Xenopus tropicalis: one gene and its partners. The protein of the gene in region 2 interacts with the protein of the main gene of each other region in a pairwise test. Links are inferred from orthologs where the notes say so. Each region holds a gene or a part of one and is shown on either strand. Other genes may lie near its edges.

Region 1 (5,407 bases), on a different chromosome or scaffold from region 2:
TCCTACTGAGTCTCCTACATCTTGTTCCTCCTCCTACTGACTCTTCTCTATGTTGTTCCTCCTCCTATGGAGTCTCCTACATCTTGTTCCTCCCCCTACTGACTATTCTCTATGTTGTTCCTCCTCCTACTGAGTCTCCTACATCTTGTTCCTCCTCCTACTGACTCTTCTCTATGTTGTTCCTCCTCCTTACGGAGTCTCCTACATCTTGTTCCTCCCCCTACTGACTATTCTCTATGTTGTTCCTCCTCCTACTGAGTCTCCTACATCTTGTTCCTCCCCCTACTGACTCTTTCCATGTTGTTCCTCCTCCTTACGGAGTCTCCTACATCTTGTTCCTCCCCCTACTGACTCTTCTCCATGTTGTTCCTCCTCCTTACGGAGTCTCCTACATCTTGTTCCTCCCCCTACTGACTCTTCTCCATGTTGTTCCTCCTCCTTACGGAGTCTCCTACATCTTGTTCCTCCCCCTACTGACTCTTCTCTATGTTGCTCTTCCTCCTACTGAGTCTCCTACATCTTGTTCCTCCCCCTACTGACTATTCTCTATGTTGTTCCTCCTCCTACTGAGTCTCCTACATCTTGTTCCTCCTCCTACTGACTCTTCTCTATGTTGTTCCTCCTCCTATGGAGTCTCCTACATCTTGTTCCTCCCCCTACTGACTCTTCTCTATGTTGTTCCTCCTCCTATGGAGTCTCCTACATCTTGTTCCTCCTCCTACTGACTCTTCTCTATGTTGTTCCTCCTCCTATGGAGTCTCCTACATCTTGTTCCTCCCCCTACTGACTCTTCTCTATGTTGTTCCTCCTCCTATGGAGTCTCCTACATCTTGTTCCTCCCCCTACTGACTCTTCTCTATGTTGTTCCTCCTCCTATGGAGTCTCCTACATCTTGTTCCTCCCCTACTGACTCTTCTCTATGTTGTTCCTCCTCCTATGGAGTCTCCTACATCTTGTTCCTCCCCCTACTGACTCTTCTCTATGTTGTTCCTCCTCCTATGGAGTCTCCTACATCTTGTTCCTCCCCCTACTGACTCTTCTCTATGTTGTTCCTCCTCCTATGGAGTCTCCTACATCTTGTTCCTTGTCTCTAATACAGGTGGGGGAGAGGTGCCATGAAGGAAAGGCAGGTTCTAGTTATAGGGAATTCAGTTACAGGGAAGGGCAAAGCATGACGGATGCCCCGGTGCCAGGAACTGACTGTTTATATTTATATAATTCTACTTTGGTTGCAGTTGGCACAAGGTTATTTATAAATAGATCCGGCATTGTATCACGGGGCCTATTTCCCACAGTGAGGGGGTCTGTGAATTCCAACAGCCAATGGAGGCCAACTGTATTCACTGGCCAATCAGAGGAGGCGACCAGTCAGAGTTTTCTGAGATAAAATAAAGAGGTTATGTTTTTTTCAATTGTGGTTGCTGGGGGGCAGTCATTAATGAGATCCCGGTACCTCCTGAGACACCTCCCTGAGATACCCCCCCAACAGTAAGAATGGCCCCTGTCCCATAGCGTTAGTGCCACACACAGGGGGTTAGACCAAGAGAGCCCCAGGGGGTACCTGGAAGATATCATTGGCACACTTTCGGCACAGGTTGTGCTGGCAGGGCAGGATCACCACGGGTTTGGTGAACATCTCCAGGCAGATGGGGCAGATGAGCTGCTTCTCCAGGTTGTCCATGGTCTGGGTGTCTCCGGCCAAAGGCTTGAAACCCACCGCAAAATTCATCCCCTCACAGGATGCTAGGAAGAAACAGGCAGCAAGATGTACTGGGGGTATATATGTGCCCCCCCAAGGGCCCCTCATCCCTAAATCCTCCCACCAACAGTACCACGTGCCCTCCCACCCACTCACAGAGGCCCCAGCACCCCACCCTGATCATGCTCACCCCCAGTCCCGCAACCTCACCCCCTGCCTTTCTAACCTGCGGGCACTGCCCCCAGTCCCACAACCTCACCCCCTGCCTCTCCAACCCGCGGGCACTGCCCCCAATCCCGCAACCTCACCCCCTACCTCTCTAACCCGCGGGCACTGCCCCCAGTCCCGCAACCTCACCCCCTGCCTCTCTAACCCGCGGGCACTGCCCCCAGTCCCACAACCTCACCCCCTGCCTCTCCAACCCGCGGGCACTGCCCCCAATCCCGCAACCTCACCCCCTGCCTCTCTAACCCGCGGGCACTGCCCCCAGTCCCGCAACCTCACCCCCTGCCTCTCTAACCCGCGGGCACTGCCCCCAGTCCCGCAACCTCACCCCCTGCCTCTCTAACCCGCGGGCACTGCCCCCAGTCCCACAACCTCACCCCCTGCCTCTCCAACCCGCGGGCACTGCCCCCAATCCCGCAACCTCACCCCCTGCCTCTCTAACCCGCGGGCACTGCCCCCAGTCCCGCAACCTCACCCCCTGCCTCTCTAACCGGCGGGCACTGCCCCCAGTCCCACAATCTCACCCCCTGCCGTTCTAACCCGCGGGCACTACTTCCAGTCCCACAACCTCACCCCCTGCCTCTCTAACCTGCGGGCACTGCCCCCAGTCCCACAACCTCACCCCCTGCCTCTCCAACCCACGGGCACTGCCCCCAGTCCCGCAACCTCACCCCCTGCCTCTCTAACCCGCGGGCACTGCCCCCAGTCCCACAACCTCACCCCCTGCCTCTCCAAACCACGGGCACTGCCCCCAGTCCCGCAACCTCACCCCCTGCCTCTCCAAACCACGGGCACTGCCCCCAGTCCCACAACCTCACCCCCTGCCTCTCCAAACCACGGGCACTGCCCCCAGTCCCGCAACCTCACCCCCTGCCTCTCCAAACCACGGGCACTGCCCCCAGCCCCACAACCTTAACCCCCAACACTTAGCAGCTTCCCCAGCCAAGGGGCCCTCAGGCTGATGCCACTGTGCCAGGCGCTTGGGGAGTGTGGGCAGTAGAGGGTAAGTTGCCCGGCCTGTCGGTCTCAGTTGAGTTTATCTTCTCTTGTATAGTTTTAAATAAAAAACATTAAAACCCTGCCCCCCCCCTCAATTCACACAACATCCCCAGTCCTGTGACCCCCCCCCCACAATATACCAAGCAACCCCCCCATCTAAACCCCTGAAAATTACTGTTCCCACCCAAAAACCCTGTAACAACCACCCAGACCCCCCAACCCAGCTGCCCCCCAAGTTCTGTGCCCCCCACTTACTGGTACTGGGTGTCCTGCCCTGAGCGCTCTCACAACTCTCTCCCCAAATGATACACAAACTGGGAGACTAAGTGTTGAGGCTCCGGTCACTTCCTCCTGCCCCCCCCCAATGATTAACCCTTCTGTGCCAGTGGCTGAGCAGCTAACAGAGCCCCTCGCACCAGGCTGTGCCCCCCCACTATCAGGCAGAGTTAATGCGACATGAGTGGAAGGGGGGCAGGGGGGCAGGGGGGCATTCCTGCTGTATATTTAGCTCAGGGATAAGGAGCGGGGGGGGGGGGGGGCAAGTCTGGGGTGCAGCTGTCACACACTCACTGAGCAGCTGATAGTGAGTCACACTCACACAATGACTCAGTAACAAAGGCACGCACCCCCCCCCCCACATACATATATATATATATATATACATACACACATGCACCCCCCCACCCCCTATAATATATATAGGAACCCCTCTCAGGCAGCACAATAAAACACTAAAGATAAGTGGGGGGGGCCTGGGGGGGTTTCTGAACAAAGAGATTTAGTGAAGCCGCATTAGTTGTATGGGATTAAACCCAATGGGAAAACTGTCTGTGCAACAATGTGGGTCCCCTTGTAACTGTGCTGAATGTAACTGCTCAGTACTGATTACTGGCAGCACCTAATTGGCTGGATTAGCTCGTTACGCCTTGACCTTCACAGGCAGGTGTGTCCAAAAGGTATTTAATGTGACCAATTGCAAGTTGTGCTTCTATTTGACTCTCCTGAGTGACAGCAGGGGATCCTCACAGCAACTCTCAATAGATCTGAAAGCAAAGATTGTTCAGTACAGGGTTTAGGGGGAGGCTACAAACAGCTCAGATCCCAGAGGGTTAACCTGTCAGTTCCAACTGTAAGGAACGTAATCAGGAAATGGGAGGCCACAGGAACAGTTGCTGTAAAACCCAGGTCTGGCCTGTCAAGGAACATCCAAGAGCGGAATATTGGGGGTGAATTGTGAGACTGGTTCCAGACAAGCCAAAGATCCCACCTCACCCCCCAGGAACTTCTTGCTGCAGACGGTGTATCTGTACCTGGTGCTACAGCGCCATTTGCACAAAGACCATCTGGATGGCCGGGGGGTGGGAAAGGAGCCCTTTCTGCCCTCGCGCCCCACATACCGTCGCTTGTTGGGGCAAAAGCTCATTTAGCTGCAGGCATCTGGGAACAAAGTGCTTTGGGCTGATGAGACACAAATGGCGTTATTTGCTCATAACAAAAAGCGCTTTCCCAGAAACCCCCACTGCCGACTGTCACATTGGGTGGGGGTCCCATCATGCTGTGGGGCTGGTTCAGGGACCGGGGTCCTTGTTAAAGTTGAGGGTCGGATGAATTCACCCCAATACCAACCCTTCAGGATCATGTCTAAGTGTCAGGCAGAGAGTTGCAGTTCCAGGGGTTGGATATTCCCACAATGAGCCCAAACACAGTGGGAAAGCTACAAAGGCATTTATGCGGGGGGTCGCACCCCCCCTGAATATCATGGGAAATCTATGGGCTGATTTGCAGCAGTCACATGGAACTGGGGGGAGTCTGTATGGGCAGTGATTGGGCAGAAATACCCCCATACAGAACCCACACACTCACCCAGGGCTGTAGGGGTGCCTAGGGGCTGTTACATCTCAATATCGCTGTTGGGGGGCCACACTCACTTTGTTACGGTGCATACTGTATATTTTCTGAAATAGTACTGTTCCCATAGGGCAGGTTATATATTAAAGGGGAGGTGCTACTGTGAGAGCCCAGCCAATGAGAAACACCAAAACATTAAGTTGGGTTCCCCCCCAGGGGGGGCACATATTGGCCAGCACTATGTATATATATCTCCTGTCCCCCCATCTCCGTCTCCCCCACAAACAAAACAGAATATCCATGGGGTGTGGGAGAGTGATTTTATTGGTGAGTCAGGGGAGGGGGGGGCTTCTCCCGTCCCCCCCAATCACTAACATACAATCATACAATGTGACATGGGCACCAGCTCCGTACTGGCACCTCTCTGTGCTGGTGAGAAATGGCAAAAGGTGCTGATGAGAGAGAGGGGGGGTAGTTACTGTGCCCGGGCACCCCCCTGGCAGAGACACATGGCATGACTGGCACATCTCTGCTCCAGTCAGGGACTGGGCTCTACTCAACGCTGGCTGTGGGGGGGGGGGGGGGGCAGATATAGCAGAACCACAGGGACTGGGCCCTACTCAGCGCTGACTGTGG
Region 2 (4,631 bases):
TGCAACGCATGCGTTAATTTGCGCGCCGAAATAACACTAACACATGATTCACAAACACTTAGACGCGCTAAATATCGCATTAGTCTGTGCTAAAATTAACACTTACTTGAGGCAGGCGGTAATTATAGAAAAAGTACAGTTAATGAGCTTTTGGCAACACAATATGGACTTTGCAGTGGGATTTATTCAAGTATGTGTTGGCCCTAGAGTGATGCAGCCTCCAGTTTGCAGGGAAATGGGCATTTTCAGTACAGTAATTTTCCGCAAGTATTGGCATATATGGCTAACATGGCGTGCATTTATTCGCACGACTATTTATATGCGGCTACTATTTATATGCTACTATTTATATGCGGCTACTATTTATATGCGGATACTATTTATTTATATGTGGCTACTATTTATATGCGGCTACTATTTATATGTGGCGACTATTTATACGCGGCAACTATTTATACGTGGCGACTATTTATACGCGGTGCGTTGATTAGCGCATGTACCACCAAATACCGCACGAAAATAGTCTTCGCAACTAAAATAACGCATGCAGTATCGCGCGTAAATTAACGCAAGTATGCTTTTAGTGAATCCTGCGTTAAGTCTCGAAAATTTAGACGTGATAAAAATTTTACCGCATGCTATAAATAGCACACGTTTTAACACACTTTAGAGAATCGGCCCTAATTGTTCTTGCCATCTTAAATGTGGCGTACTTTTTTTCAGTCAAAAAAAGTGACAGTTTTATAAATCTCCAACCTTCCTGGTTTTTAAAAATAATCTCAAATCTCAGGTTTTGCTTCTGGGAAATCTGAGCAAGAACTACAGTACATGTTTTCAAAAGCTGACTGAACATCAGTAAATGTGGGTGACTTTGTTTGTGGTTATCAATTCTAAGTTTAAAATCATATAGAAAAATGATATAAAAAGTTCTGCTGAGACAGGATTATAAGAATGGCATTTATTAACATGGCTTACCTGAAGCAAAAATGCAATTCTACTTCCATCACCATATTCTGCCTCAGATCTTTTTAGTTGTTTCAATAAAATCTTATATTTTGAAAGTTCTTCTCTGTCTCTGGCTTCATTGTCTAATTTGGAACATTTGCGACACCGTCCCACAGTACGTGCGATGGAGGAAAGGGAAAACTCAGTGGATGGCAAATAGCTTTTGCAGCTGGGGCAGAAGTATATGTTTTTACGCAGAGCTGTAGAATCTTCAGGAACCTTTCAAAAAAATGCAAGTGTATTTTTAGTTAAACTGCCTTCTATATTTTTCTGTATTCTGTTATGACAACATGTTTTGCATCAGATGTATATATATAATTGTAGCTTTTCTGACAGAATAAAAATAATAAAACATTATACCAATATCTGCATCTGACAAGCCACTTAGCATAATTTATTATGTTTACTACTGTATAGATAGAAATATGTCTATTGACCTCCCATTATTAAATGCAGGACTGCAATTATTTTGAATTATGTCTTGCAATTGCCTTTACAGTATAAAATATAAAAGTAGATATTTATAACAGAATTAAGAAAAGATAAATATCTGTTGTCATTGGAAATCTTTGGAACAATGTACATATTTACAATACCTTGAGCAGTCTGGCAACCTCAGGATTAAAAGTTGGTATTTTTATGTATTGCAAGAAGAGAGTGGATATCCTTTTCCTCAGTCCCTCCAAGTTGGAGTTCTGCACCCCACGCATTAAAAGATCAGCTTCTCTGTCAATAAGCTCAACAATCTCTTGGGTTAATTTACAGTCATGCTCCTAAAACAAAGCACAACAGCCACAAAAATACATATATATATATATATATATATATATATATATATATATATATATATATATATATATTGAATAAGAACACTGAATTATCAAATGATAGGATACGGTGGGAGTGGGAGTCATGCATAAAAACCAGATATAAAAACCAGATGAGTTAAGCAATATAGCAGTTTATACAGTTATGACCAAATAGATTGCCCCAAGTGGATCTGTTGGATAAGATTTAGCAATTTAGCCTTTAGTACATATAGCAAATTGCACTATAACATCACACATGTTTATCTGTTGGCTATCCCATAATATTGTCTGTGTCATTGTGCCCAGCAAAAATGCTATACGTTTTATATTTCTGCACAAAAGTATCATTATTTCCCTCAAAGTAATACAATCAACAAAAACATTGTAGCTGTCTATAAACCTTGTCATTAGAAATGTATGCAACCAAAAATGAGTTACCTTCACAGTAAGTTTAAGAGTTAAAAGTGCATCCAGTCTTTCATCAGCATTAAAGTATGGTGTGTTTATGCTGGTATAGATATCACGAAGCTGTCTTGCACGGATTGTGTACTGAGTATCCATTTCAGTCGTCTTTCCATCAAATGCTTTCCACCTTTTTGGTTCAGAGCACTTAAATAAAAAAAACTATTATTAATAATAATCATCAGGGTACTGTTTCTAGGCTCTACAGAATATCAAGAATGACACATTAATTTACAAAGATATTCCTACAGTGACACATAAATAGTAAGTCAAATCTAAGGGAAGTTATGTGCTTTACGTGGGTGCCTGGACTGAGAAACAGGGCAACATTTTGCTGGTTATGGTCAGGTGTGGGTTAAGGTTTTGTGGGCTAAGATCAGGTCAAAACTATAGAACCATTCAAGGTAAATATATGCACTTTAACAAATCTTGTTTCCCCGCTTATTAAAGGCTGATACATTTGTGTCACTTTAATTTTCTGTATAAAGTGACAGTAAATGAATGCACAGCCGTTTTTGTTTTCTGAAAGAAAAAACATTTTCAGAGTCTCCACACTGTGCACCATATGCCTAAAAGAGAACAAATGGTATTTTTCTATATGTCCATGTGGCCTGTATAAACCTGGTTGTGGAACAGTGCATATTATCAATACCTTGGGTATAAATTGTGTTTACTTACCTTATTCAAGAGGACCTGTATGGACTGTTGCTGGTTTTCTTCATTGGCATTTAGCTTATGCCTGCCTATAGAGGCTATTAATTGTGTTTCCTGCTCTAGAAGTTCACAGAGAGCTGCTTTCCTTTCAGCACCGGTGTATGTTTGGTTAATTCGCTCCAGCTCTTCCTTCCTCCAGGCTAAAGAAATTAATATACTCATTGTCAAATTATACTTTAAAATGGGTGTTAAAGGACCCCCCACCCCTATTTCGGGGGGGTGCCAAAATGTTAGATGCGCAGAACGCCAAGTGCCAAGCTTTAAGAAACAAGTATGTAAGGATATGTTGGCATGGCAAGCTTTAAGAAACTAGTATGTAAGGAGATGTCGGCATGGCACTCAGACACTTTTTTCCACGGGCTTGGGGGAAAATTTCGGAATCTATTTCTATTTCTATTTACAATTCTTTAGTAATTGGAACCTAGCTTCCCACCATAATCTAATGTCCCTGGAACAATTTTGCTGGCTCAGAGAAGCCTCAGCAAAAAGTTTATCAATACATATAGTGCTACAAATACATTTACAGACATATTTAGGGAAGGCACTCCAAGCCAAGAGTCTAAATAACATACCTAGTGATTTCAATCACTTACACCTTTACAGACACCAAGAAAGTTATAGCAAAACCCTGGCTTTTTTAATTCCAGGTTGAAAAGTATTTAAGCACTTTAAATATAGATTTTACACTGTTCTTTTGTTACATGATACATCTGTGAGTAAAATATATTTTTATTTGTATTGACCAGGTAACAACACTTGAGAAGAATAATCCACATTACCATATTCAACTGCACTTGGTTACCGTTGAATAATTTCATATTGCAAAAAAATGCTTGCGTAATCTGGCCAACATTTATTTGAAAATTATTACATTAAGTAACTTTTTTTTAACTTTTTTTCCATTAACTTGAGTCAATACCTTATTTTCAAACAACTAAACTGTCCTATAGTTAAACTTGGTTGCAAGAAAAAATACTGATCCAGTAACAAACCTCACGATAAAGTAAAACATGCCATTTTGCTTACTTACACCTTATTTGAGAGGCCCAGGTAATTCCCAAGTTGAACAGACATTCTGTCAAATATGCTGTTGCTGATTGTAAAAGGAAAATCTAAAGGTGGCCATACACGCACCGATATTATCGTACGAAACCTCGTTTCGTACGATAATCGGTGCGTGTATGGCATGTCAGCGAGCCGACCGATATCGCAGGAAGCTGCTGATATCGGTCGACTCGCCGATCGGCCAGGTTAGAAAATTTTGATCGGGCGCCATAGAAGGCGCCTGACCAAAATTCTCCCTTCAGAGCTGAATCGGCAGAAGGAGGTAGAAATCCTATTGTTTCTACCTCCTTACCTGCCGATTCAGCCCTGAATGGTGTGTGGCGGATCTGACGATGTTTCGTGCGACCGACGGTCGTACGAAACATCGTGAGATCGCCACGTGTATGGCCAGCTTAAGGGGCAACCTGAGACTGACCTGCTGCTATATTTCCGATATCAGATATGACTTTTAGCTGGGATTTTGTTGAGGAAGGAATATGTGCCCATGCCACCCATTAGGAGGGCAAATAGGATTGTAAAATTAAACATCTGGCCATACATGGTCTGCTAGATTTAACATCAACGTGTATAAATATG
Region 3 (5,181 bases), on a different chromosome or scaffold from region 2:
TAAAGCTGTTTATTCAGGTATGTTAATGGTTTCTGCAGAATAAATATATTGTTCTAGGTGGCACTAATGTGGCAAATCTATTGGCAGTAAAATGCCAAAATGACTTTCCTTCTCCTTTAAGATCTGAGGAACTAAAATGTCGTTGAAGCAAAAACAAAAAGGTACCACACTCCACAGACTTAAAAATAAATATTTTAATAGGCAAGCAAATATATAATTTTGCAATGTTTTAATGATCTTTCTCAGGGAAAAAACTAAGGAACATCGCACACAAATATGATGCAACAGGGGTGATCTGGAGGAGTTGAGCTTGATGGACTATTGCTATTTTTCCAACCCAAATTATCTACATAACTATGTCTTGTATTTGCCAGGCACAATGCAGCACTGGTGTGGGAGTGCCTTCCCATCTGGCTCTGTGCATATGCAAGTCTGGTGCTGCAGTAGGGAACAGTCAAATCTTATATGAAATAGTTGGTAACAACTGGTTACCCTGTGGTACTGCATGTTCACAATACGTGCATTTAAGAAAAGGGGAGGCAGAAATGTACTGACACCTGGTGATATGCCAGCCATTTTTAATCACTCAGTATGAAAAACATGCAATTACTTGAATCTACATTAGACAAAATCTACAGTGAATTGTGTGCATTGTGTCTATACAAAATATATATTATTTTGTGTGAGTGTGATTTGTTTTGTTTACATAGTTAGAACGCTAACATTCCCTAGCAAGTTGCGTGCACTTTTTGGAAACTAGGCTGCACAGCTGCAAAGACAGAGATGATGATGAGCATTAATTGTGCTATTTCAGTATATAAACAGTATTTATTGTTTAACATGAGTGCTGAACATTATATACTGATACTGGGGTACATTTTTTTCTTAAATGGACAGTAAGAAGTAATGAAAAAAAATGAAAAAAAAACATAGATTGTTCATGAAAAAAACAATAGACGAAAAGCAGGTTTAGCACAAGCCCTGAATTTATGTTGAACAAGGGTTCAACATAAATTCAGGGCTTGTGCTAAACCTGCTTTTCGTCTATTGTTTTTTTCATGAACAATCTATGTTTTTTTTTCATTACTTCTTGAATTAAGCAGGATAAACAATTAAACTGAAGCTACTTCATGTTTGGAAATTGTAGAATATAATGGTATTCTGGCCATTTAAGAAATTTTAGCTCAGTATTTGCATATTACAAACTAATAACATTAGTGGTCCTGTTAGCAGGGCCAATTATAATGCCTGTTTCAGAGGCAGGATAGGCGTTTTAATCCATGCTCTACTGAAAATAAAATAAGATTATTTATTTAACTCAGTGTTAGGCCTCGACTGAATAAAATAAAATTACTGGTGGCCACAAACTAAAAACTTAAGAGTATATAAAAGGCAATTAACTATAGCTGGTAAACAATAATTCAGTAGGAAAAATTAAACAAAATAACCATCCTTGTTTCTGTCCCTTTCTCTTCTCCCTCACCTTCTCTATGCATACTCCCATTTACATATTACGGCAATTAGCACAGAGGGGCAGGACTGTGAACTGGCGTCACAGACTATGTGATGAATTCCCACATTCTAGCAGGCTTGTCCAAAAAACTTTTTACAGCCGCTTAACTGAATATTATATAGATGGCAAACAAGTGAAAAAAAATCTCTAAACTTGATAATGTGGAGATCATATAATATACATTTGTTTAAATGTCTTTCTATCTTAACACAGTTTTCCTTGCAATTATATGTACTGCAACCAGAACAGAAGAAAATGGCATGGAAGAGAAAGAACAGATACCTCACAGAGAACGTAAATGCTGGCTGCACTATTATAGCTGTGGCAGAATGTTCAGTATCATAATTTCCAAGTGACAGAAAGGGGAAATATAAAATATCAGTACCTATGCACACTTTACTAGTGTGAATCAGGAAGTGGAATTTACACTTTAAATACACTGTAGGTATATTCTGGAATGAAATGCTTAAAAAACTGCACTTTGTCTAAACTTGTGGTTCCTGCAGACAGGATGTGCTGAAGACAACCCTGTCAGTCTGAAAGGAATTCTTCACTAACAAACCACAAATTATATGAAAATGTTCTAATGCTAACTCACCTAAATATATATTTTGGACTAAAACTCTCAGCACCCCCTAAAATCCTTGGGAGCAAAGAATCATACAAATTGCAAGTCAACAACACCCGAAGGGCTTCAGAATGGACACAAATGTAGTATGTGAAAAATGTCTAGTGCTAGAAGCAATACCATATAGAACAAAGCCAAAGTGTTATAAATATGGATACATCTCACATGTATGTGTAGATGCGGAATAGATGTAGAGAGTAATTAAAATATTAGGACACTATCCATATACATGCCTACAGCATAAAAATACCATCATGACAATCATTAAGAATTGCAGCATATCATATTTACCTTAAGATCTGGTGGCTTGTTGCGGTTGACGGCTGGAGGACCTTGGCTGACAGCTGTGCCAGCAGATCCCAGATCCCCTTGGGCAGGGCTGTCTGTGCCTCGCACCTCCATGGGAGTGAGTGGTTGGGCATCCTGTGCACCCAGTTCCTCAGGATGTAAGTCGTCTGACTTACTACGCTTCATATTTGAAGGGTGAGGATGGTGGGGTCAAAACAAGGGATAAAGAAGCAGGACAAAGGGATGTGGGTAGATAAGGGTGGGATGGTGGGAAGGATGAGAACAGGTAAAGGGCAAGGGAAGAGGGAGAAGGGTATAAGGTCAAATTAAATTAGCTATCACAAAAATGGCATCATTCACAGATAACCTGCTATACACACACACATGAGCTACACACAGGTATATGACTGTTCCTCACAGTGTTCATTTAACAGGACATCACACACTGTCATCCTGCACATTTCCACTCTCACAGGACACACAGAGCAGATACAAATCCTACATGATGAGCCTAATACCTTGATATACACACGCTACACATCCTACACCCAAACCCAGCACAAAGCGGACATACACCCAAACTCTCACATACGCTTACACACACCCGGGGAGAATCCATGACAAGAGCTAATACCTATGCTTTACAATCAACAAACCAGCGCACAATAATGCACCCTTACTCGGGGCGCGTTCCCACACTCATACTAAGCGCGCGCACGCTACAAGCTCGGCCAGGCAAGGCTGGGAGAGTAAGGTTAGTGAAGGGCCCCTCCTTTAATCCATCCTTCACGACAACCCCCTCCCCAGTCTCCCTGCTCCCCGAGGCCCCGGCATCTACGTCCGTACTTCTCCCTGCAGAGACTGGGGTGACCAAGACTCAACCAACCCGTATAACTGAGGGACGCCGCTTGTAACAAATTGCAAGAGCGGATTTTGACAGTTTGAGCCAATCAGACATCGGGGGACGGACCATTAGCCTTTTCAAGGTGGGTTGCAGCGCGGGGAGCTGTCACAGAAGGTGGTGCTGCAGGGGTTGCAATGTGCTGTGCTGAGAAGTGACCCGCAGACCAGCCCGGCTTTGTAACAATAATGCAATCTAGTGCTTCTGAGTAGGGCAGGACCACGCCTTGCTGCTAGGAGCGTGCAATTGCTAGCTATTCATTTGATAACTTTGTAGCAGCTTGGAGAATGAAGAGACACGTGCGCTGTACAGGATATTCAAGTGCTGTTTGTTACATGAAGGCTTTGACCGTCTATTTATTTTAGATGTTCGACATGAGGGCGCAAACTGTTCTTAAAGTCTTGCAGCCCATTTTGCTTTATATTTTCCCTTCCATTCATCTGTAAAGACATCCATTCATTCATCCATCAATAATAAATATAACAAAAGTAGCCGTCAGCTATTAAAAGTTGGTGTGTGAATTGGCAAGGGCAATAATGTTATACTAGGTCTAGAAACCCATAGCAACCATCATATATTTGCCTTCAAAAAGCAGACCAAAATGTTTACTGGTGCATATTCTGCATCAGATATAACCCACAGTATTTATTCCATAGTTCAGCAGCCATGTTCCTTTATATCTTTCTTACATTTATTTTACCCTAGAAAGCACTGTAAGAAGACATTTTACTGCTTCTTGACCCAACATAGTTATTGTGGTTTGCAAGGTAACATAAACTGCTATCAAGGTAACATAAAGCTCTCGCAAGGTATATTTCTCCTGTTTTAATTTCCTGTTTAACTGTAGCTCTGCATATTACAATTTACAACTCTTTCTTTTGGTATCTTTCAGTTATGTAGGCCCTTGCAGCAACAGAAATGTAGCTGGATATTCTAATTTTCTAAATAATTAAAACAATTATTTATAATTAATGAACTTTTCTGCACTTCAGTGTTCAACAATGCATGGTGATGTTGTGGGACCTGCTTGGTCCCAAATAGGTATATTTGTATTCTGCATTTATTACAAAATTACTCTGCAAATGAACCGTTTTTCTCCTAATTAAATAAATTGCATATGGTCAGTTATTTTTGCATGCATTATAGCATAGACCTAAAGCTGACAAAACATTTTGTATGTTTTAGAGAATATAACCACTAAATTGTAACCTTGGTGTATGCTTTGCATGGATTCATTTGGTCAAATTCTGATTCCAAAATAAGTAAGCGTTGTCAATAAATGAATGATGCATAAGTCAGTAGTGCTTGCTCTGATCCATTGCTCTGCATGCACTTTACACTTGGATTCTAATTACTCAAAACTCTTCTTTTTTTGTGTACATGTCCTACTTAAAATTAATCCCGCTGATGTTGGCCAGTGCTGACTCAGAACCAGGGGATCACACAGGGTTTTGGTAAGGGATTTCCATTATTAATTCAACAAAATTAAAATTTTCTCTGTACACATAAATCTCAGCAGGGGAGAATCAGCCAACCAAGAAAATGCAACCATGCCGGGGTTTATCAGCATATATAAAAAAATCTTGACATGGAAATGGTGGCTTAGCAATTTTAAAAATCATTGAATGCACCTGCAGATAATTGATAGCTGATAAAACATGGGACCAATAAATGTGCACTGATAATTTTCTTGTATATTTGCAGAAATTTGTTTCAGATCAGTAGCACTTTTATATACCTAATTCCTGCAACCCCCTTGTATGCTCTGCCACTGTCAGCCTGTACTGTGATTTCATTGGTGCATCAAAGAGTCAGGCAGAAGCTGATTTTCAATGTTTCTGTCTATGGCTT

The links. The genes of interacting proteins can lie anywhere in the genome.
Region 1: the proteins of iqub (region 2) and trim54 interact in binary tests that used the Homo sapiens proteins (3 or more experiments, as listed by UniProt). The link is inferred for Xenopus tropicalis from reciprocal best matches to the Homo sapiens genes IQUB and TRIM54.
Region 3: the proteins of iqub (region 2) and tmcc2 interact in a two-hybrid assay, tested with the Homo sapiens proteins (2 studies listed by BioGRID and IntAct). The two-hybrid records come from large-scale screens. The link is inferred for Xenopus tropicalis from reciprocal best matches to the Homo sapiens genes IQUB and TMCC2.

What each region holds. Positions count from the first base shown.
Region 1 is NC_030681.2:162,398,012-162,403,418, forward strand, and holds the start of trim54 (tripartite motif-containing protein 54), read right to left. Parts: upstream 3,340-5,407; 5' UTR 3,179-3,339; intron 1,744-3,178; 5' UTR 1,730-1,743; coding exon 1,562-1,729; intron 1-1,561. UniProt on the Homo sapiens protein: May bind and stabilize microtubules during myotubes formation.
Region 2 is NC_030679.2:70,231,864-70,236,494, forward strand, and holds part of iqub (IQ and ubiquitin-like domain-containing protein), read right to left. Parts: intron 3,131-4,631; coding exon 2,955-3,130; intron 2,424-2,954; coding exon 2,253-2,423; intron 1,779-2,252; coding exon 1,602-1,778; intron 1,225-1,601; coding exon 976-1,224; intron 1-975. UniProt on the Homo sapiens protein: Adapter protein that anchors the radial spoke 1 (RS1) complex to the A microtubule of outer doublet microtubules in axonemes. The triple radial spokes (RS1, RS2 and RS3) are required to modulate beating of the sperm flagellum.
Region 3 is NC_030678.2:72,929,546-72,934,726, reverse strand, and holds the start of tmcc2 (transmembrane and coiled-coil domains protein 2), read right to left. Parts: upstream 3,340-5,181; 5' UTR 3,276-3,339; intron 3,270-3,275; exon of another isoform or gene 2,616-3,269; coding exon of another isoform or gene 2,544-2,615; coding exon 2,433-2,543; intron 1-2,432.